Linked DNA regions of Nothobranchius furzeri. The main gene of each other region encodes a partner of the protein of the gene in region 3 in a complex. Links are inferred from orthologs where the notes say so. Each region holds a gene or a part of one and is shown on either strand. Other genes may lie near its edges.

Region 1 (3,947 bases), on a different chromosome or scaffold from region 3:
TCTGTTTGGAGTTGTGTTGTTTTCTTTACCCTGACAACAACAAAGTGAGCCTTGAGGACAGTGGCCAGAGAGGAGGCTCTATTCAGGCATTACGGTAGTGAATCCAGCAGCCAGAGAGGAATTCCAGGAATGCTCAAAGGCTCTGACTCAAATTGAAACTAGACTTGGATCTTCTGAGTTTACACAGCAGCTGTGTCCACGAACAAGTTGGTTCTGATCCAACAAGCTCTCTCACCACTAATATGTTCTACTGGCTGAATAAAGCAGCTCAAAGAGGAACATCTGTGTCTAAAGATCCAGTTCACACTTGGACTGGGTCAACCACCATCACCCAAAACAGGATTCTGCCTGGTAACAGCAGGTCCTCCCATTGGTCCAACCCCTGTGTGTGTGTGTGTGTGTGTGTGTGTGTGTGTGTGTGTGTGTGTGTGTGTGTGTGTGTGTGTGTGTGTGTGTGTGTGTGTGTGTGCGCGTGTGTGTGTGTGTGTGTGTGTGTGTGTGTGTGTGTGTGTGTGTGTGTGTGTGTGTGTGTGTGTGTGTGTGTGTGTGTGTGTGTGGATCTAGTAGGGTTAGGGTTCTGAATGGAGGTCTCATTTTAGTGATGTCACATGTTCTGGACCATGTGGTTCCTGCTGATCTGAACCCAGTAGGGCTCACAGGGAACCTAGCAGAATCCAGTAGAACCAAAACTCCACCAGTAGGTGTGAACTGAACAGAACCAGGGTCCTCTGTGGAACTCAGTACCAGAACTACAGAGTTGGACCAGTACTCGGTCTAGTTTTGGGTCGTGATAAGGTGAGATGAATGAGTTACTCCCCCCTCCTCCTTGTGTCCTCTGCTGTTCATTCACACCGAACCGAACCGGCAGCAGGACAAAGGGGGAGGGTCACTGCCGCCCCCTGCCGCCTGTTGGGCCCGGAGGCCCGGTCCCAGACCTCCCACCTCCTCCTAGGGCTAGAGGGAGGAGGGCTCTTCCTGCTCGCGCGCTTGCAGACCGCTTCTCTTTGATCTCACCTCCTCCCACCGCGGCCCCGCCCCTTAACAACAGCCTACGTCACCCGCCTTTACTTGTTCCCAAGCGAAAAAGCCGTTTGTGTGTGGGCGTACAGACACGCGCGCGCAGGGAGGTGCGCGCGGAGGTTTTGTTCGCCAGAGCGAGGCGGTCCGGACCTCAGAGGACTCGCGCACACCAGAGGGGCAGCAGCACACGGAGCAGCCCTGACACCGGGATTCAAAAATACCAGATAGAAAAGACACCGGGCCGGTTCTAGCAGGACACTTGTACCGAACCGGTTCTCTCTGTGTTCCGAGCCAAACCATGGATGAGCAGCTGCTGTGCTGCGAAGTGGACTCCATCCGGAGAGCCTACCAGGACGTGAACCTGTTGAATGACCGGGTCCTCCGAACCATGCTGCGGGCCGAGGAGAACTACCTGCCGGCTCCGAACTACTTCAAGTGCGTCCAAAAGGAAATAGCTCCTAAAATGAGGAAGATCCTAGCGACCTGGATGCTGGAGGTGAGTTTTGATTGTCCCTGGGAATGGTTCCGGTTCTGATCCGGCTGCCCCATCCAGCTCCGGTTTGGACCCGGTCTGGACTGCCGTACCGAAGGCAGTGAGGTCGAACCGATCCGGATTTACTCCAGAATTCACAGTAATGTACACGTATGCAGTCCGGCCCAGCAGGTCCGGACAGTGCGCCATCTTTGCCACCGACGAGATAGGATTTAAAGTCCGTTAAAACCAGTCAGACATCAGCCAGAACCGAGCCGGACCCACCAGGCTCCACAGAAACCAGACCAACTTCAGTTCCACTGGGTCTAAAACTGTCTTGGTTCCGAACGGCTCCGCTGAGGATGGCAGACCAAAAAAAAAAAACAGTTTTAAAGGATGAAAGGGTACCAAATGGGTCTGAAGGTTCGGCTCAGTGTCTCCGGTGTTCTCACGCGTCTGCAGAAAGACTCGGTCCTATTCTGGTCATTTTTATTCATTTTACAAGCTGCCTGGACCGGTCTGGTCCGGACCCGAACCGAGCACGCGAAGGAGCCTCGTGCCCAAACCCAACAGGTCCCGAGGGGCCGGTGTGTCCGAACGTACCGAGTTCTGGTGATTAAAGTGTGTGTGTGCGTGTGTGAGATAGAGAGAATGTGTGTGTGCGTGCGTGTGTGTGTGTGAGACAGTGCGTGTGTGGAGGACTCACCTGTCCGCTCCTCTCCCTTCAGGTGTGTGAGGAGCAGAAGTGTGAGGAGGAGGTCTTTCCTCTGGCCATGAACTACCTGGACCGGTTCCTGTCCGTGGAGTCCAGCAGGAAGAGCCGCCTGCAACTGCTGGGAGCCGCGTGCATGTTCCTGGCGTCCAAGATGAAGGAGACGGTTCCGTTAACGGCGGAGAAGCTCTGCATCTACACGGACAACTCGGTCCAGCCCGGAGAGCTGCTGGTAAGGGCTTTAGGACCGTGTGGGAGGCTGCTGCAGGCACACCAGCAGATCAGGTGTTTAGAAGAAGAAAAAGTTTCTCATTTAGCAAACATCAAGATAAAGAATCACGAGGCTCTTCACAAGAGCCAACAATAAATACTAATATAGAAAATAAAGTAAACAGGAGAGCCTGAGAGAGACAGAAACACCAGCATGAAAAGAAGCCAGTGAGGAAGAAGAGGAGATCAACCTCATCTTCATCACTAGCATCTTTTTTGAGGTGTCAAAAACCAGAACAAAGGTCACGTCACACTTCACCTGCAAGGTTGTCCTCTCCTCACGTGTGTCCATCCCACCAGAAGGTTGTGGGAGATGGAACAAATAGTGTTCTTCTGGAGCGTCTGACAGGCTTGTCTGGTGGTCTACACTGACCCCTAGTGGCCGAGAGGTGCAGCAGCAGGCAGACGCTGAGTTAACGTCTGATTGGTTGTTCTGGTCCACCCACAGCAGATGGAGCTGTTGGTTCTGAACAAGCTGAAGTGGGACCTGGCTTCAGTCACGCCTCATGACTTCATCGAGCACTTCCTGTCCAAACTGAAGATCCATTTGTCCACAAAGCAGATCCTCAGGAAACACGCCCAGACCTTCGTGGCTCTCTGTGCTACAGGTGGGTGCTGGACGTCAGGATTCAGGAGTGGATCCACACACACACGCACGCACGCACACACACACACACACACTAGTGTTGTCAAAAAAATCGATACCTAGATATAAATTGATACTAAAAGTGGTATCTAAATTAGATATTCCATCCCTGTGGTATCGATATTATGGACTATTATACACAGCCTTCTTCAAGTACACCAACACGCACGACAGCCAGATGCCGTAAAGAAGCCTCCGCCTCCCAGACAAACAGAAGAAGAAGATGCCGCATGGCTACATTGCAATTTCCCACGCGAGTTGTCTCCGATCCAAGTTTTGTCTGCCAAATAATAAACAAAAACATAAACAGCGAATTTGGGAGGCGCTTCACAGCCCAACTTCATTAGCATACCAAGTCCGACACGTAGTTGTATATTCACGCTTATGTGCTTAAAGGAAAACTCCCATTTATTGCAACCCGGACTTAATTTCTAGCATGCAGTACGTTTGTTTACTCACGCTGACAACTTTGGTGCTACTTGGATTCTCCGGGGTATTTAGATCCATCGGCAAATCGCCATCAGCGTATATCCATATAACGGGTGCGGACGGGCACCCATGGTGCAGCCTTGAAATAAGACATTATCTGCACCAAAACATCTCTATGTCGAAAGGTTTAGTTAGGAATCATTAACATGATTCCCCTGTTCGTTTGGAGCGGGTCTAGGATTTCTAGGCGTGAACAGACTAGCCGCGGCTAATCTAACCGGTGCTTTTAATTACGTCACTGCTGTGCGCCAATCTGTTTTTATTAAGATTACCGGTAGATGTACCTTTGTCCTACTGTGGAGAAATTCGTTTTCTCCCTTTATTGACCAACAGAGTTG
Region 2 (4,065 bases), on a different chromosome or scaffold from region 3:
TCGGTATCGGCCATTTTTTAACATATCTGTATCGGTCCGATAAATAAAACTAGGTCGATATTAACTGGTATTTTTTTCCATCTTGTTTCCATTTGTTTATCAGTTTCAGAGGGTGAGGGGGTGCTGTGTATTTTAGTCAAGTGACAGTGATTGCAATCATCTCAGTAGAGTAAGTGTGTGTGTGTGTGTGTGTGTGTGTGTACATAATAATGTAAATTCAGCTTTAATAATATTCAGTCTTTACAAAATCTGCTGATTTTAGAAGCATTAATGTCAGTATATCGATATCGGCCCTAACAGTGATATTAATATCGGTATCGGCCCAAAAATGTCACATCAGTGCATCTCTACTCTCAGTTTACCTGCCGGTCTTGATCCCAGTCCTCACCTGTAGTCATGAGCTTTGGGTAATGACAGAAAAAACAAGATGGCGAATACAGGGCGTACACTGTGCGACTTTTTCGTTGGTTGTTCGTCATCTGACACTGTTCACAGGGCACAGCCACGAGTCATGTTCTCACGCTCTGACCGCTCGCACTGTTGTGGTAGTAACACGCCGGTCCAAAGAATGTGTTTTAAGAGTTTTTTTCTCAACGGGTCGAACCTGTGAATCCAGAAACCTGAAAGAGAGGAGACTGTTGTGCCGTCATTGATGTCTGTTGTCCTTGAGGCCTGCCGTAGTTGTGGGAGGACACGCAGGGGTTTATGGGGAATAGAAGTAGAGGAAGAATGAAAGGCATGTAGGAACTAAACCGAGGTTTTGGGATCTGCTTTTACTTGACATGAATACAAAAGGTGCTTTCTTAACATTAACATGTGCAGAGAAAACTGTAAGTAAAAGGTGGAAACGTGTGTGGAGATGAATATGGCTGGCCAGACATTTTGGCGCGTGCGCTGTGTGAGCGGTTCTGGTACATTTGGGTCGCGGTGCAGCTTCAGCGGTGTCATACCCTCACAAGGGATCAGCAGAAATTTAAATATGCTTGATTCTCGTGCGATTGGGAGCTGGTCGGGGGGTCTTAACCGCCTCTCGTAACCCCTTCTATACTACACGACACAAAACTCGACCTGACCTCAAAGACTGTTGCATGGGTGGAAAATTGGCTCAAAATGAGCAGAAAATCACACAGCAGGCCTGGCTTTACAGAGTTTTAGGGATTATAGATTATAACAAAAGTAGCAGCATGAAACAAAAGAACAATCAAATGTCTAGTATAACATCTATTCTGGTTTATGTAGGAAGGCTCATCAGGAAGGTGTTTAACACAGTGGGCTGTTTCTACTCAGGATCTATTTAGTTTTTCACTTTCAACCAACACATCCTGCTGAAATGTGCTCACTTCTGCATCTTTACGTTTCTGGCCTGCTAGCATCATTTTTTAGTGAATTTTAACCGGTTGCTTAGTAATACTGTCACAGAGCACTATCAACTACATCTTACATTGTTGTCAGTGAACGCTGCTTTTTCTCGTAAGGGTTTGATGAATGACTGTAAACAGCCACATCTGCAGCCCAGTGAGGCACCGGCGTGCTCTCCTCAGGAGTTCAGCGTTCAGATTCATCAGCTGACGTTTACCAGGCTCACATCGAAAGCAAAACTCTGCTTCATGCGTACACACCGTGTGTTTAGCTCGAGTATGTGAAGGTTGGCTTAGATGAAGCGAAGCTTGTGCTGTTACTAATGCCAGTCTTGCGTTTGGCTCTCTTGGAGGTGGTGACGCTGTGGTACCGACCTCCTGAAGTTCTGCTGCAGTCCACGTACGCCACTCCGGTGGATATATGGAGCACCGGCTGCATCTTTGCTGAGATGTTCAGACGCAAGTGAGTCAACATAACGTTCAGATCACCGGTATCTGATCTTCTGTCAACTCGGGTTTAGCGGTTTGCTACGACTGGGATGTTTCCAGCTGATAGATGAGCGGTCTGGAAATCCGATAGAATGATTATCTGTGAAACCCGTTTGTTTTTAAAGACTTAGTTCTAGTTTATAACCCAACTTCTGATGATGATTTGCCTTTTAGACTAAATTTAGAATTTAAAAAAAAAGGGAAGGAAAAAAGCTCTGCATCCTCTTCCAAACAAGCCCGGAGATCAACGTTTTCTAGGATGTCAGCATTTGATTTCAGGCTGATGATTTTCAGGGACATAGTTTTACAGATTTTGACAGCTGGAGTTTAGTCTGGGAGCAGCCTGGGTGGACGTACCTAGAAGATATGAAGTTTATGTGTGATGTGTGCAGAGTGGCTCCATCTAGTGGTGGAAAACAGCATGACATCAGCAGCCAACAGGGTTGAAGAACTGTATTTGTTTTAGATGATTAAAATAAAAATTACGTAACTAATTTTACATGTATCGTTTTGTTTTTTAAGACCTTTATTCTGTGGAGAATCAGAAATGGACCAGCTTGGGAAAATATTTGAGTGAGTAACAAAGACTTAGCGGAACATCAGCAACCAGAACGACCAAGCAAATCATTCATTTCACTCATCTGCTTTCAGAGTTATCGGCTTGCCGCAGGAGGAGGAGTGGCCGACCGGCGTCACCGTGTCGAGGAAAAACTTTCCCGCTGTCAAAGCTCGCCCGATCACCGACTTTGTCCCAGAGATAAACGAGCAGGGGGCCAAACTGTTGATGGTAAGACTTGAGTTAACAACTGAAGGCCGATTCTTTTCTCACCTGCCAACGCCCCGGACCCCCGGGCTTTCCTGAACTAAAGCAGAATCGTACAGATGCATGACTTTTCAGCACATTATTAAAGAAATATGAAAATATAATGTAGAAAAGAAATCACACAGAAATATTTTCCTGCAGAAAGTGTCACAGCTAACCATGTGTGGGGGGAATGTTGTCAACCAAATGACTGTAAAAAAAAAAAATAAAATCTATTTTTTGCCTGTTCTCTTTCCTCCACAGCAAATGCTGACCTTTGACCCTTTGAAGCGAATATCAGCGCTGAACGCTCTAGAACATCTGTATTTCCAGGATGAGGAGACGTCGCCTCAGACAACCAGTTGAAATCATGCAGTAGAAAAAGAACCAACAGGATCCAGCGCCCTCTGAGTACAGATTATGTTTAGGGAATATTTCTTAGTTGATCCTGCTTCAGAAATCAGGATGAAACTCTGTGAGGATGAATTTGATGAGCACTGCCATGTTTTTGAGCTTGTACAAGTCACATGTAAAGATGTTATAGCAGCAGTTAAAGGGCAGCACTAGTGATTTTGATGTTTAGTCTTGGAGTCAACATGCAGAAATGTCTCGTTTAAATGCTGCTTTTGTTGCCGTACATTCTCCAGATAGGTTAGTGATGTTTGTCTTACACAGCTGTAACCCGTGTTGAAGCTGCTCGCTGTCTATAATGTGAGTGGCTGTATCTGAATCATGAACATTTTAAATGAAGTTTCAAACAGTTACAGATAAACGCACAAAAGCTTAAAAAATTGGAATTTCTTTTGAGTTATTGCACAAAAGTTTTTTGTGGAATGAATTTCACACCTTCAAATGTCACTAAACACCACACACTGAAATCTGAAATGAATAAAAGAAAGTATTCAATAATTCTGGGTCAGTTTGTTGTGTTTTACAGATGACTGTCTATAAAAATAAAACATCCTCTATCTGAACAGATGAAATATACTTTGTTCTCTAACCCATGTAAGTTTGTATTTGGAGCCACAATCAGAATTAAAGTGTAAAAACACTACAGGCAAATCCAACTTTGATGTAATGTCCTTAAAACAAGTCAAAATGAGGTTCAGTAGTGTGTGTGTGGCCTCCACGTGGTGAGGTGGTGGATGGTCTGAGGGATCTCCTCTCAGATCTGGACTAAAGCATCCTCCACTGCCTGGGCAGTCCGTGTATGATGATGTCCCACATGTGCTCAATTGGATTCAGGTTTGGCGAACAGGCAGGCCAGTCCATAGCATCATGCAGGAACTGCTGACACACTCCAGCCACATGAGGTCTAGCGTTGTCTTATATTAGAAGGAACCCAGGGCCAGCCGCATCTGCATGTTATAGCATGTTGAGGGCCGTGCCACCCCCCACCATTGCTGCCAAATCGGT
Region 3 (4,125 bases):
ACAGCTCAAAGGAAACACTCGAACATTAAAACGTAGCTGAGGCGCACAGAAAAACTTCAAAAAAATTGTTTCATAATATTCCAGGACTCTGATGCTAAAAGCACCTCGATTAAAAAATAAATATCAGAAAATCTTAACAGAATTTTTACATCTCCTCGTCGTTTAGACGAGTCCAGCCCTTTGCAGGGAGGCGCTGTAATAAATGAAAAAACAAATTAAATTACGATACGTGAGCTACATTTGTACCATTCTTCACTGCTGCATTAGGAAGCTGACGGAGTGAAGGAACACTACAGAAACGGTGAGAAGCCATGATTTTTTCTTTTTAAGTGTAGCAATTAAGGACAGTGGCAAATGTCACACAGTCTGGAAATAAAAATAAAAAACAGCATTTTGGAAACCATCACTGCAATTCTTCAAGTCAAATGAAAATTCACAACTTTTTACAAAAAGGATTGGATTTAGAATTAAGTTCCTTATGTGCTACACATGGAGACATATTTATACCTATATATATATATATCCATCTTTATTAATTTATTTACACACAGGTAGTAACAAAACGAGCAAAAAAGGGAAATAAAACCTAATTGCACACTGCTACATCGACTGCTGTTAGAGGCAGTAACTTATTTTTAATTGAGTGCCACAACTTTAGTGTTTCTATTCAGTGCTTCAACAGCGTCCTCCTCAGTCCTCAGAAGAGCCGATATGTTTCTGATGCTGCGCAGATCCTCATCCCCAAAAAGCCAACAAACAGTCAGGCCTCCAAAAAAATAAAATAAAAGATGCATATAAAAAACAACACCCTCGCAAAAAAAAAAATGCTCGAACTGTGTGGAGAAGGTGGGAAAAATAAGAAAAAAAAAAGGTTAGTATTAACATTTTTGAAAAATCATCTTTTAACAATTCATGGAAAAAGTTTCACTTTAATTATTTTTCATAACTAGACTGTTTATTTCAAGTGTGCACCCCCTATCAGTTTCCTATTTTTAAAAAGACTAACAAGGTTAAGCTAAACTGACCTGTTACACACACACACACACACACACACACACACACACTTATGAAACTAACAGCTATTTTGTCTTTTAGTGCAGTTCTTTCATCATATTTTATAATAAAATCTTTCAAGGATTTACTTTTGAACAGAAAAACATCCTCATATTGAATCACACCCGGTTATTGTTCAAATTTCTGTGCTAAAAAGAAACATTGATGTAAGTGTTCTCATCTGCAGCCTAAACAGGTCCTAAACCACTGTGAGGAAGATCTCATCGTGCCCATCCCTCCTCCCTTTACTTGAATTCGGACCTGCGGGTCTCCTCAGCACACTCCTCTGCCTGCAGGGACAGCGTGCGTGCGTGTGTGTGTGTGTGCGTGCGTGCGTGTGTGTGTTCAGAGACCAGCCCCTTCTCTGCTCTGCTCCGAGGGCAGTGGCTGCTGACGTGTTACTACTACACTGTTGTTCAGCCCTTGTTTACAGTTTAGTAGAAAAGCTGCAGCAGTGAGACGTTAAAGCCTTTTTCTCTCGGCAGAGTTGATCTCATTGTGATTAAATGAATATAAAATGTTGAAATGGTTACTAGAGTCCAGCATTTTACTTACTGAAGATAAAATAAGCGTGCAGCACCGTTAAAGCTACTCGATAATATGTGGAGAGAACGTGTTATATAACCTGCTGTGGCTCAGATCACAGCTGAGGAACAGAAGCTACATGCGGTTATTGTATACGGATGAGTTTAAGCCTCACCGTTTTCTCTCGGGCTCACGTCTGTCTCTTGGGACTGGGCTTTCTGGGTGTGTGTTCTACTGAGTGGCTCAGGTTCGGACAGCTAACCTCGTCTGGGCTGGTATGGGACCTCTTGTTTTGGGTCGGAGGCTCTGCGAACAGCAAAGAAATTCTGTCAGGGAAACTCGGAGCAAAAACACAAGAAGAGGGTTATAGATGTGCTTCCTGTCGGGTGAAAGCCGAGCTCCGGCTCTAAAACCTGATTAGATGCAAATGTAGTACCGTGACTAGCAGGTCTCTTCCTCAGCCCGGTGCACTCCGTTTGACCGTCGGGCTTGCTGGTATCCCCGCTCGACGCCACCAGGACGCAGTTATGGTTCCCGTTTAGATCCACACTGGTGCTCCTGGGGCAGACGCCCTTCTCCCTCCGCGGCTGCCGGTGGTAGAAGTCCGGCATCTCCTCGGAATCCACTAGTTCCCATTTGAACCTGCCGTTGCTCAGTGGCGTGTCACTGGCGAAGTCGAAGCCCCACTTGGCAGCGGCAGCCTCTTTGAACTCCCGCATGTGTTCGTTAAAATCCTTCTTTAACTCTTCGTGATCCACCGGGCCGAACAGACTTCTGCAGGCAGACGGCTTCGGGTGCTCCGACACCCGGGCCTCCGTCCGCTCCAACGTCGGACTCCCGTTTGAAACTCGAACATTAGACATTTCCCCTCCCCCCAATAAACACGCTATTTTCAGTCAGCCGGGAGCGTCCAGCTGTCATAAGAAAAACACGTCGCTGAAAAAAAAATACAAATAAAAAACAACAACAGCGGTATCTCCAGGTCACGGGGGAAAGATCCGACGCAGCTCTACACCTATGCCATGCATACGTCGAAGTGGAAGACGTTAACTGCTGCGGGGCTCTGGAGTCGAAGATGGTCTCCGAGAATCATCAAAACAAAGTGCACAGGAACTGAGGACGCTGTCAGTTTCGCTCCGCTCAGAGAGAAACTGCAGAGAAACCTCAGCACCCAATATGGCGATTGAGGAGCAGAGCAGTGGTGGGGACTGAGACGGGAGGGGGAGGGGCTTATGATTGACACACAGAGCTATTTAAACCCGGCAAAGGACGCTCATTGGTTAAGCGACACCTGGCCCCACCTACTTTATTTAAAGTGACAGTAGGCGTGTATGAGTGGGGAAGTCGGCTCATATTTTTCCATCACGTTTTACTAAAATAAATATTTATGTATGCTTCTTAAAAATAGAAAACGTATTTTTGTGTAAATGACTACATCACACAAGCTTTATAGTTACACATCTAAAAAAAATACTAAATTTACAGGTAATTTGCAAAGGAGTCAAAACCATTATTTTTCTAAACATCTTCAGTGTGCATTACTCTGTTTTTAATAGTTGATTTATTCTAAATATAAGTATTAACCAAATATTTACCAAATTTAAAAAAAAAATCCAGCATCATAAAGCAACACACGTATGCCAAAGACACACTACAACGGAGTGTAAAACAAAACTAATAAGCCAAGAACCTGCAGAAATCAAACCTGCCGTGGGTCGAGCATTGGTTTTTACATCGCAGCTGAAAAAATTCACAATTTCACATAAAAGTCAGCATGCACTCCCAAAAGAGAGAATTACATCATTATATATATATAATACAAATAATTTAAGGTAGTTTCTTTTTGTCAATGACTGCATGAAAACCTTTTTTCTCCTTTTGTTACTTTTTACACAAACTGACAGAAAATAAAACACCAGACGTAAGGCTGATTTTGGCCTCATGTTCCAAAATAAAAGTGCAGTGTTTAAACTGTTTTGTGAGAAATGATGCAATGTACTTTTACTGGAAAAAATGTTTACTTAAAAGGGTCACAGCAGGATAAGTGGTGCAGATGAGGCCGGCTACAGCCAGCCATTAAAACAATAGCGCCATCTTGTGTTCACTTGACTAAACTATTGCAGCACAAAATCAGCAAGAAACCAATCTTATCAAATACTTTAATACCACACTTTTAAATAAGCATCACAGCTATGCATTTACATATTTATATGTCCATAAAAACAAATACTTATAAAGTAAAAGTCCATCAAAATCTTCTCACTGACTGCCAAAGTATTGCTGCCTACCTTCGTCATCAGTCATTACAGTTTAGTTTAGTGCCTTCATTCTCAATCAGGGAGTGTCAGAGGCCGAGCCACTTGATGATGTAGAAATTCCTTTTTCCTACTTTGAGCAGCGTGAGTCCATTAGTCAGGATGTGGACTTTGGGGATCAGCACCTGCTCTGGATGGTCAGCCCGTTTGTGGTTAATCGAGATTGCCCCCTCTGAAACCATCCGATACCTGCCAACATAAACATGTATGATTAAGACTCTGGGTTAAAGGA
Region 4 (4,281 bases), on a different chromosome or scaffold from region 3:
AGTAAAACGCAAAATGCTTTTCATGTCACGCAGCTGCTCTCCTCATATCCCAAATGGTCCCGATGGTTGTTGTCACTGCTTCTGCTGCATGCTCGCGTTCATTTTCGCTTTTGTTTTCGTCCTAACGGCTCACGCCATATTGTCTTTTTATTGTTTTTATAGATGGTGTTGGATACGTCTGTACGGGGAGTTAACCGAGGTTAACAGTCAAACCGGTTAATCCCTGCAACCCTAACCTCGAACGGATTAAATTATGGCGTACTTTGACGGAATAAAAATTTTAAAGGTGCATTATGTAGAAATGAAGTCAAAATTTTATCCTGTGCTTTTTGCCGGCAGTTGTCAAATTACAACTGTCGGCGCTGCGGTATTAGCTTGCAGTAGATATGGCACCCCCTCACTCACTGATGGTAAACAGTAGTTACGACCCTCCTTTTGTTTTGAATGGAGAAAAAGTGGCAATCCCCACAACCAGCTGGATATGAAATATGTTTCAGTGTAACCTTTCTTCCAAAATGACTGAAACATTAGACTCTTTTGGGACTTTCTCACTGTAAAATTCTTACTATATTCTTACACTTTTAAAATGTTTTAATTGTCTATGGACGCGCTGATCAGTGACGTCACTCATTGCAAACATGCTGATGATATGCTGACGTATTTGCAAAGTCCTGAAAAGGCTGATTTTGTACAGACACAACGGCTGAAAACACTGATCCATTGTGTTTTCCTGGAACTTCAATAGTGGAAACATGGCTATCGAGTACGCTAAATGATCCCACACAGCAGCAGATGGTGCCTTTGCTAGTTTAAGGTCAAATTCAACAATAAGAAAGAGATGAGACAAAAAAGCCTCTATGGGACAGTTCCGTAAAACATCTCTGGTGACCACACAAAGACCCATCTCACCGTCTCCAAAGAGCATCTTGATGATATTTTAGAAAGTGGAACACTTGTTTAATCAATGCATTTTTGTAGTAGTCTCTAGTACTAATAAATGACGAGTAAGTTGTTTGCAGGGGGAAGAAATATCCCAGTGCACCATTCTTCTGACCTAAAATTTGCCCACATCACAGCAGACCTTCTGATGGCAGGATTTGGAGTCTTTTTCCTGATATTTGGACATCTCACTCCGGATCGGACAACAGCAATGCAACTCGACCACTGATTTGCAACATAGACATTTTATCTCCACAAATAACACAAGGCTGGAGGAACTTCGGCTGTGTGGTGGCATTGCTAATGCTAAAGGTTAGCTTGAATTAGCTGAGAAGTTCTCTGCTGTTTCCTGGACACTAGAACAAAAAATTTACTGGACACTAATCCAACAACACCCAAGATGGGTGAGTCCATGAATGTTATTCAGTGTGACGTAGATCTGTCAGGCTTTTCTAATTCTAGTTTCACCGTCTATTTTCTATCAGAAGCTAATGCAGGAGAAAGGTGTGGGAGACTATTTTCATGTTCAGTCTGCATGAAAAACTCAGTAACCATAATCAGGAAAAACATATTTAAAATGGTTTTTCAGTCAACAGCATCTTTGAGACTTTTTTGAAAATATTCTCTGGAGTGGTGAGACTATTTTGGTGAAAAACTAACTTCAGAAACACATCAATATACCAACAGTCAGACACGGTGGTGGCAGAGTGATGGTCTGGGGCTGCTTCAGGACCTTGACCACTTACTGTAATTGATGGAACCATGACTTCAAACATGTCAACCCACTCGTTTGGCTGGAATAAAACAATGTCAAAAAAATGTGGTCTAGGAATCCTTCACAGCAATGTAAGCCTTGTTATTAGTTCTCACAGATGCTTGATGGATGTTTATGCAGCTAAGGGTGTTGATTGGTTGTTTGTTTCCTTAATAAATAAATTAAATCATCATTTGAAAACTGCTTTCTGTTTTTACTTTGATCATCTCTGGTATTTGTGTTGGAAGACATCGATAAGGATCCAAATGCTTTTTTCAGAGTGCTGAAGTTTGGGTATGTTGGTAGTTTGACAGCTTGAGATACTGAAAGGTACCCTCCTACAGCAGCAAAACTATAAAACATGTCCATTCAACTAATAAATCAACCAAAGGAATGAAACAGAATAGCATTCAATGTAGAGTCAGAAAACTACTTCTGATCACTCACTAGTAACATCTGATCGTAGACTAAAACACAAGACAATGAAAAATTCCCTTAAATAGTTACATATTTCACTTGCTCAGACGCTTTTACCCAAAGCGACTTGCAAAAAATTGTAAGTCGCTTTGGGTAAAAGCGTCTGCTAAGCACATAAGCATAAACATAAACAAACATATCCAGCTAACCTACAGGGTTATATCCAAGGATGCTACGTCACTTAGTCCTGTGTGGAGGTTATATTAGGCACTGAATAATTACAGTTTAACGAGAAACGCTTATTTCTGTTGTTGCAGGAAGTGGGCAGACGATCACCAGCCACGAGGTCGTGGATAAAAAAAAAATCTGAAGCATTAGTGGATGTTTTTAGCGCGGCGTTAGCTCTGGAGATAACTCCTGCCTCTTAACTTACGTGTCCAGGCGGATTTTCTTCAGAGCAACAGTTTCTCCGGTCACTTTATTCTTGGCTTTGTACACCACTCCATACGTCCCTTCTCCTATCTTCTCCACTTTCTGAAATGAGTCCATTTTGCTTACAAGAGCGGGACTGTTTAAAGTTTAGCTGCTTAGCAATACTGGTCTCTTTGTGTGCGCGCTAGCAGCAGCAGCGACAGCGGCTCGGTGGCTACAGAGGGGCGATGTTAAGGAGCAACGCGGGGACAAACCGACACTAACCGCCGCCCCGGCTCCCTTCGGCCAGTCCGGAAACAGCCGAGCGGGAGATAGGGGGTTCGTGTAGAAGATGAAACGCTCTCAGATCAAACGACAACACAAAAACAGGTATATGGGCATGTGTGCCCAGCCTCGATAGTAATTATGTGGATTAATTCAAAAGGGGAGCGCGACGGTCGCAGCTCAGTCCACAAAACTGAACCAACACAGCGGCGTTTCCCGCGTTGTAAGAGGAGCGTTCGTTTTTGACTTCATGATACACCGATTATTTCGAATGGGTGGCACTGTACTCTTTATTTTATTGCTTATCTTGCAGTGTTCTCACAGGGGACCGCTATGAATGAATCCAACGCTTTAGATTAGATAAAAATGTTCACAAAAGTACTTCTGGTGTTTGTTAAATTTAACGTGTTGTTAGAAATCACCAGAAGTTGGGATGAGACGGAGACACTAAATGAGCAGCCCTCACTGGTCACATGATCAAAATGGATGACGTACCCTGACGTCATCTTAGAGGGATGTGGAGTGCTTTTGTTTGTAAAAAATGTGTTTATAAAATTATTTTCTTGTCAATTAGATCTAATTTCACAAACATTAATTCCATTTTAGCCTACCATCATATAAGTTTAAAGTTGCCATTGTTAGTTTTTTAAACATTTAATTAATTTCTTTACCTTAGAACAGGAGTCCTCAACCAAGTTTGGTCCTGAGGTTTTTACAGTAGACGGGCCAGATGCACTCTAAAATAACTAAAAGCATTATTGTATCTTAATTTATCAATAATTTAAATGACTTTGTTTTCCACCTAAACTGTCTTCATTGTAGTTTTAGTTGTGGTTGGAGAATGTAAACAATTATTGGGGGGGGGGGGGGGGGGGGGGGGGGGGGCAAAGAATTGGGACTACAGCCCTGCACAGGCCTAAAATCTGAGCCCGTGTCCGCCCGGCCCGAGGGGGTGGAGCCCCAGCCCAAACCAGTCCGAAAAAGTTTTCAGGATTCTCTGGCCCAACCCGAGCCCGAGGCCGACTTTTTTTCTTTAACCTTTCATGATGTTTTAGCGTGATAGAAGGCTCAGCATTCTAATTATCTGTGGGAAGCGTTCCGTAGTAAAAAAAAAAAAAAAAAAAAAGAAAGGAAAGAAAGAAAAACAGCATTCAATGCAGCTTTTTTTTCTAACAGCGTATTTTTCGAGCAGCAGATGAAATTTACGAACACTATATTAATTGGATGCGTTTGTAAATTTTATCTGCTCTGAAAATGCGCTCTTGTGCAATTAGGAAAAAAAAAGCAGCATTCTAATTTTCTAACTGCAGAGCACATTTTCAGAAACACCCCCAATTAATATAGCGTTTGTAAATTTAATCTGCCACTCTGAAAATGCGCTCTCCAACCCAGTAGTGAATGCTGTATTTTTTTTTTACTGCAGAGCGAATTTATTAACAGAAAAATAGAATGCTGCCATTTTCATGAGAATAAAC
Region 5 (3,998 bases), on a different chromosome or scaffold from region 3:
GCCTTGGTGAAAGCTACAGGTGACTGGTTAACATGTGTAACTGCATGTCCAGACTGTCCACACACAGAGCAGTAGGGGCGGGGAAGAGGGAGGATCAGACTCAGACAGACACACAGCAGAGCACCTGCGGGTGGAGGGAGACAAGAGGCAATGAGGAGGACGAAAAAGGCGAGCGAGAGGGAGGAGAGTGCGACGAAGACGGTGAGAAAATGAGCGCCAGCAGTCGGAAAGTGGAGATTTCTTAGTGTTCAGTTATTAAATCCATAGAAATTATAAACATTTGACATATTGCTTTTTTAACATTAGTAAATTATTTTACATATACGGTAGTTTAGCATTATTTTGGTTATAAATGTATTCTACGCAACAGAAAATCTGAGGAGCCACTTGGGAGCCGAAAGAGCCGGCTCTTTTTGGTGAGCTGAGCCAAAAGTACCGGCTCTCGAAAAAGAGCCGGAATTCCCACCACTAGATAGAACCTCAAACTAAACCCAGACATGTTTGGACTTGTAGTAACTTGCTTGTTTGTTTTTTGTTTATATTTCTATGTTTTTGTATCTGACTGTTTTTCATTTGTACATTGTAAATTGTTTTATTTAGTCATCCTGTTGAGGAACTGCAGATGTAAATTAGCAATTGTGCTATAATCTGGCCTCTTTACAATGGATACAACGTATGTGATTGTTATTAATGCGCACTGTCCCGAATAAATAAATAAATGAAATGATCGACCACCATCTCCGAGAAAGAGAGGATCACAAGCACAAACTGAAAATAAACGAGTGCGTCTGGCACCAGAAATAAGGGCGCTAGAGTCGAACACCTTGTGTATTAAAACATTTTCACACACTGCAGGTGAGGCCTCGAAGATGGGGACATTTAAGGCAGCTTTCACTAGATTCAAAAGAACACGTATTTGTTTTACCCATTTCTGATAATTATGTAGACGGTCTCTTAACATTGGGAAGGATGTGCAACCCATGCAGGGGGTTGTGGGACTAATATTATAGCATCAGCTGCTCCACTATTAAGTAAAATGACTATAAATAAGCCGATAATGATATGTTTGGTTGATTTGGTCATATTTTGGTGTGTCTGGTTGCTGCTTTGCTTATTAAATTATTAAAAACCAGAACATTTCTACTCCCAGGCGCTAGGGGGCGGTGAAGCCGGTGCGTGATGACGTCACGTCTTTTTACGTAGTAAAAACAAGGCGCGTGTGAGTTGGTGGCGCGTTTAAAGAGTCCAGTTTGGAGAGTAAAGAGAGAAACGCGAGGATTAGAAGTGCATTTTCCCGGATTAGGGTTATTAATCTGAAGCGGAAGGATGTCTCAACACAGGTTTGATGCTTAACTACATTTAGTTCCTGTTTTCTGTCTTATTCGCTTATTTAAACCAAGAAAATGAAACAAGTCGATGATCCGATTAAAATAATCCAGTTAAATAAACGGATCACTTAATCTGATGTCGGACTACTGGGGTTTCCTTTCTAAACTGCTGGTTTGATCATTTTATGCAGATTATTTTTAATGGTGTTTAAAAGCAGCTCTCCCAGTGGTTCTAGCGGTGGGACTTTGCGCGACCTGTCATCATCCTGATGGCGGGCTGGGGGCGGGGGGGTGGGGGTGGGGAGAGTCTTCCTCAGGATGAAGGTCCGGTTCTGGCTGATCAGACCCATCTTGTCCACCTGCAGCCGGACCCTGATGCACCTGCCCTGCTCCAGCCTCCGGAACAAACGGTCCCGGACCTGCCTGGCTGAGGGTCCGGACTCTGAGTGCACCCCCACAGAGTCCATCCAGCAGAGACCACCGCCTCTCAAGGTCCCACTGCTCCTCCCCAGGGGCAAAGAGAACGAGTTTGTGCTGGCCCGGAGGTCCCGGAGGAGGAAAAGCTCCAAGTCAGGTAGGAGAAACCCCCCCACCCCCCCACGCTTCCATCTGGCTGCCTTCAGAAACCTTAAACCTCTCTGATTGGCTGGTTTCTCTCCTCAGGTGTTTCATTGGATCATCTACCTGAGGAGCTGCTCCTGAGGATCTACTCTTGCCTCCCCTTGCATGACCTGCTGAGGATTTCTGGAGTCAGTAGGCGCTGGCAGCGTTTGGCGTAAGAGATCCTGCTGGACCGCACACACACACACACACTCAGAAAACCCAGCTGTGGTTAGGGTCGGGGCTTCTCCAGGGGGTCCCTGATAAGTCCCTGCTTGACCAATCGCACCTGTTCACTCGAGGATTTGTCGCTAACACCAACGATGCTCAGGTCAAGTTCTCGTGCGTCTGCGGGCAGACCCTGTTAATGGATGCTAGATAAGTGAGCATCTTCCCCCAGATGGAGCAAGAATTATTCATTCATGCCAACGAGCACTACAGAGAACTAGAACAGAGCACCGGCTGTTTGATTAGAGCCGTCTTCCTGGAGGCGTTTATTTAGTTTATGTGTTTCCATGGCAACGCCGGAAGTCCGCTTCCGTTCTGTTTCTCCTCGTATTTCATTTGAGTTTCCATCAGTGGGGCTTTGGGCGGAGCAGCAGAGACATGCAGGTGACCTTTGGGCTGGAGGGGATCAGGATCCGGTTCTGAGGTAATCTGTGTGTTTCAGGTCCGATGAGTCTCTGTGGTACAGCGTGGACCTGGAGGGGCTGACCCACGTGGGCCCGGCTCTGCAACAGGTTCTGAGGACCGGGGTCCGCCGGCTGCGCTGCCCTCGAGCTTTTGTAGAGGAACAATACCTGACCGACTCTCGGTGAGTCCGACAGCCCGGATTGGGGTCCGGTCCCAGCAGCAGGTAGAACCCCCCTGATAATGGGTTCTGTTCTGTCCTTCCAGCCCGCTGCAGATCGTTGAGTTGGACCTGTCCAGCTCTATCATCCCGACCTCGACTCTCCAGAACATTTTGGGTCGCTGCAGGCTGCTGCACCACCTGAGCCTGGAGGGTCTGCAGCTCTCCAACAGCATCATCAGGTCTGACTTGTACCGGGTCAGGATTTGGTCTGATTGGTTCTGGTTGTTTCAGACATGAAAATCCCTCACGTAGGGTCACAGCGAGGCCAGCTTTCCCAGTTCAACCAGTTCCAGTATTATCCACTGGAGGACATACTCATGAGCCCCCCCGACACCACCAACAGTAGTGGAAATAAGTCCATCTGAACCGGCGACGCGCTCGAACGCAGCTCATCTGAACCGGCGACGCGCTCGAACGCAGCTCATCTGAACCAGCGACGCTTGAACACAGCTCATCTGGACCGGCGACGCTCCAATGCAGCTCGTCTGGACCAGCGACGCGCTCGAACGCAGCTCGTCTGAACCGGCGACACTTGAACACAGCTTGTCTGGACCGGCGACGCTCCAATGCAGCTCGTCTGGACCAGCGACGTTCGAACGCAGCTCGTCTGGACCAGCGACGCTCGAACGCAGCTCGTCTGGACCAGCGACTCGCTCGAACGCAGCTCGTCTGGACCAGCGACGCTCGAACGCAGCTCGTCTGAACCGGCGACACTTGAACACAGCTCATCTGGACCGGCGACGCTCCAATGCAGCTCGTCTGGACCAGCGACGCGCTCGAACGCAGCTCGTCTGAACCGGCGACACTTGAACACAGCTTGTCTGGACCGGCGACGCTCCAATGCAGCTCGTCTGGACCAGCGACGTTCGAACGCAGCTCGTCTGGACCAGCGACGCTCGAACGCAGCTCGTCTGGACCAGCGACTCGCTCGAACGCAGCTCGTCTGGACCAGCGACGCTCGAACGCAGCTCGTCTGGACCAGCGACACGCTCGAACGCAGCTCGTCTGGACCAGCGACGCTCGAACGCAGCTTGTCTGAACCGGCGACGCTCGAATGCAGCTCGTCTGAACCAGCGACGCTCAAACGCAGCTCGTCTGGACTGGCGACGCTCAAACGCAGCTCGTCTGAATCGGCAACGCTCGAACGCAGCTCGTCTGGACCGGCGACACTCGAACGCAGCTCGTCTGGACCAGCGATGCTCGAACGCAGCTCGTCT

What was found.
Region 1: the proteins of cdkn1bb (region 3) and ccnd1 are in contact, whole or in part, in a crystal structure (PDB 6P8F), measured with the Homo sapiens proteins. The link is inferred for Nothobranchius furzeri from reciprocal best matches to the Homo sapiens genes CDKN1B and CCND1. Residues at the interface, in NP_004055.1 of Homo sapiens: Lys25, Pro26, Ser27, Ala28, Cys29, Arg30, Asn31, Leu32, Phe33, Pro35, Val36, His38, Glu39, Glu40, Leu41, Thr42, Asp44, Leu45, His48, Cys49, Met52; in NP_444284.1 of Homo sapiens: Met56, Ile59, Val60, Trp63, Glu66, Val67, Glu70, Glu92, Lys95, Lys96, Ser97, Arg98, Leu99, Gln100, Leu101, Ile126, Tyr127, Thr128, Asp129, Ser131, Arg133, Glu136, Gln139, Met140, Leu142, Leu143, Asn146, Lys147.
Region 2: the proteins of cdkn1bb (region 3) and cdk4 are in contact, whole or in part, in a crystal structure (PDB 6P8F), measured with the Homo sapiens proteins. The link is inferred for Nothobranchius furzeri from reciprocal best matches to the Homo sapiens genes CDKN1B and CDK4. Residues at the interface, in NP_004055.1 of Homo sapiens: Glu53, Ser56, Lys59, Trp60, Phe62, Phe64, Gln65, His67, Lys68, Pro69, Lys73, Tyr74, Glu75, Trp76, Gln77, Glu78, Val79; in NP_000066.1 of Homo sapiens: Gly18, Thr19, Val20, Tyr21, Lys22, Ala23, Arg24, Asp25, Pro26, His27, Ser28, His30, Val32, Leu34, Ser36, Met75, Asp76, Cys78, Ala79, Thr80, Ser81, Lys88, Thr90, Val92.
Region 4: the proteins of cdkn1bb (region 3) and cdk2 are in contact, whole or in part, in a crystal structure (PDB 1JSU), measured with the Homo sapiens proteins. The link is inferred for Nothobranchius furzeri from reciprocal best matches to the Homo sapiens genes CDKN1B and CDK2. Residues at the interface, in NP_004055.1 of Homo sapiens: Met52, Ser56, Trp60, Phe62, Phe64, Gln65, Asn66, His67, Pro69, Lys73, Tyr74, Glu75, Trp76, Gln77, Glu78, Val79, Glu80, Lys81, Gly82, Ser83, Leu84, Pro85, Glu86, Phe87, Tyr88, Tyr89, Arg90, Pro92, Arg93; in NP_001789.2 of Homo sapiens: Gly13, Thr14, Tyr15, Gly16, Val17, Val18, Tyr19, Lys20, Ala21, Arg22, Asn23, Lys24, Gly27, Glu28, Val30, Ala31, Leu32, Lys33, Thr47, Glu51, Val64, Leu67, Asp68, Val69, Ile70, His71, Thr72, Glu73, Lys75, Tyr77.
Region 5: the proteins of cdkn1bb (region 3) and skp2 are in contact, whole or in part, in a crystal structure (PDB 2AST), measured with the Homo sapiens proteins. The link is inferred for Nothobranchius furzeri from reciprocal best matches to the Homo sapiens genes CDKN1B and SKP2. Residues at the interface, in NP_004055.1 of Homo sapiens: Ala181, Gly182, Ser183, Glu185; in NP_005974.2 of Homo sapiens: Arg294, Asp319, Val321, Arg344, Tyr346, Asp347, Gly369.

The regions. Positions count from the first base shown.
Region 1 is NC_091749.1:21,576,474-21,580,420, forward strand, and holds the start of ccnd1 (G1/S-specific cyclin-D1), read left to right. Parts: upstream 1-1,141; 5' UTR 1,142-1,318; coding exon 1,319-1,516; intron 1,517-2,220; coding exon 2,221-2,436; intron 2,437-2,922; coding exon 2,923-3,082; intron 3,083-3,947. UniProt on the Homo sapiens protein: Regulatory component of the cyclin D1-CDK4 (DC) complex that phosphorylates and inhibits members of the retinoblastoma (RB) protein family including RB1 and regulates the cell-cycle during G(1)/S transition.
Region 2 is NC_091743.1:49,241,583-49,245,647, forward strand, and holds the end of cdk4 (cyclin-dependent kinase 4), read left to right. Parts: intron 1-1,711; coding exon 1,712-1,821; intron 1,822-2,369; coding exon 2,370-2,420; intron 2,421-2,498; coding exon 2,499-2,634; intron 2,635-2,913; coding exon 2,914-3,015; 3' UTR 3,016-3,558; downstream 3,559-4,065.
Region 3 is NC_091744.1:57,771,979-57,776,103, reverse strand, and holds cdkn1bb (cyclin dependent kinase inhibitor 1Bb), read right to left. Parts: upstream 2,708-4,125; 5' UTR 2,442-2,707; coding exon 2,015-2,441; intron 1,885-2,014; coding exon 1,769-1,884; 3' UTR 1,754-1,768; intron 834-1,753; 3' UTR 509-833; downstream 1-508. Other genes in the region: yars2 (tyrosine--tRNA ligase, mitochondrial), read right to left, coding at 3,923-4,082. UniProt on the Homo sapiens protein: Important regulator of cell cycle progression. Inhibits the kinase activity of CDK2 bound to cyclin A, but has little inhibitory activity on CDK2 bound to SPDYA. Involved in G1 arrest. Potent inhibitor of cyclin E- and cyclin A-CDK2 complexes.
Region 4 is NC_091743.1:49,088,352-49,092,632, forward strand, and holds the start of cdk2 (cyclin-dependent kinase 2), read right to left. Parts: upstream 2,802-4,281; 5' UTR 2,660-2,801; coding exon 2,544-2,659; intron 1-2,543. UniProt on the Homo sapiens protein: Serine/threonine-protein kinase involved in the control of the cell cycle; essential for meiosis, but dispensable for mitosis. Phosphorylates CABLES1, CTNNB1, CDK2AP2, ERCC6, NBN, USP37, p53/TP53, NPM1, CDK7, RB1, BRCA2, MYC, NPAT, EZH2.
Region 5 is NC_091746.1:70,421,680-70,425,677, reverse strand, and holds the start of skp2 (S-phase kinase-associated protein 2), read left to right. Parts: upstream 1-1,196; 5' UTR 1,197-1,326; coding exon 1,327-1,340; intron 1,341-1,693; coding exon 1,694-1,902; intron 1,903-1,991; coding exon 1,992-2,103; intron 2,104-2,598; coding exon 2,599-2,742; intron 2,743-2,825; coding exon 2,826-2,960; intron 2,961-3,998. UniProt on the Homo sapiens protein: Substrate recognition component of a SCF (SKP1-CUL1-F-box protein) E3 ubiquitin-protein ligase complex which mediates the ubiquitination and subsequent proteasomal degradation of target proteins involved in cell cycle progression, signal transduction and transcription.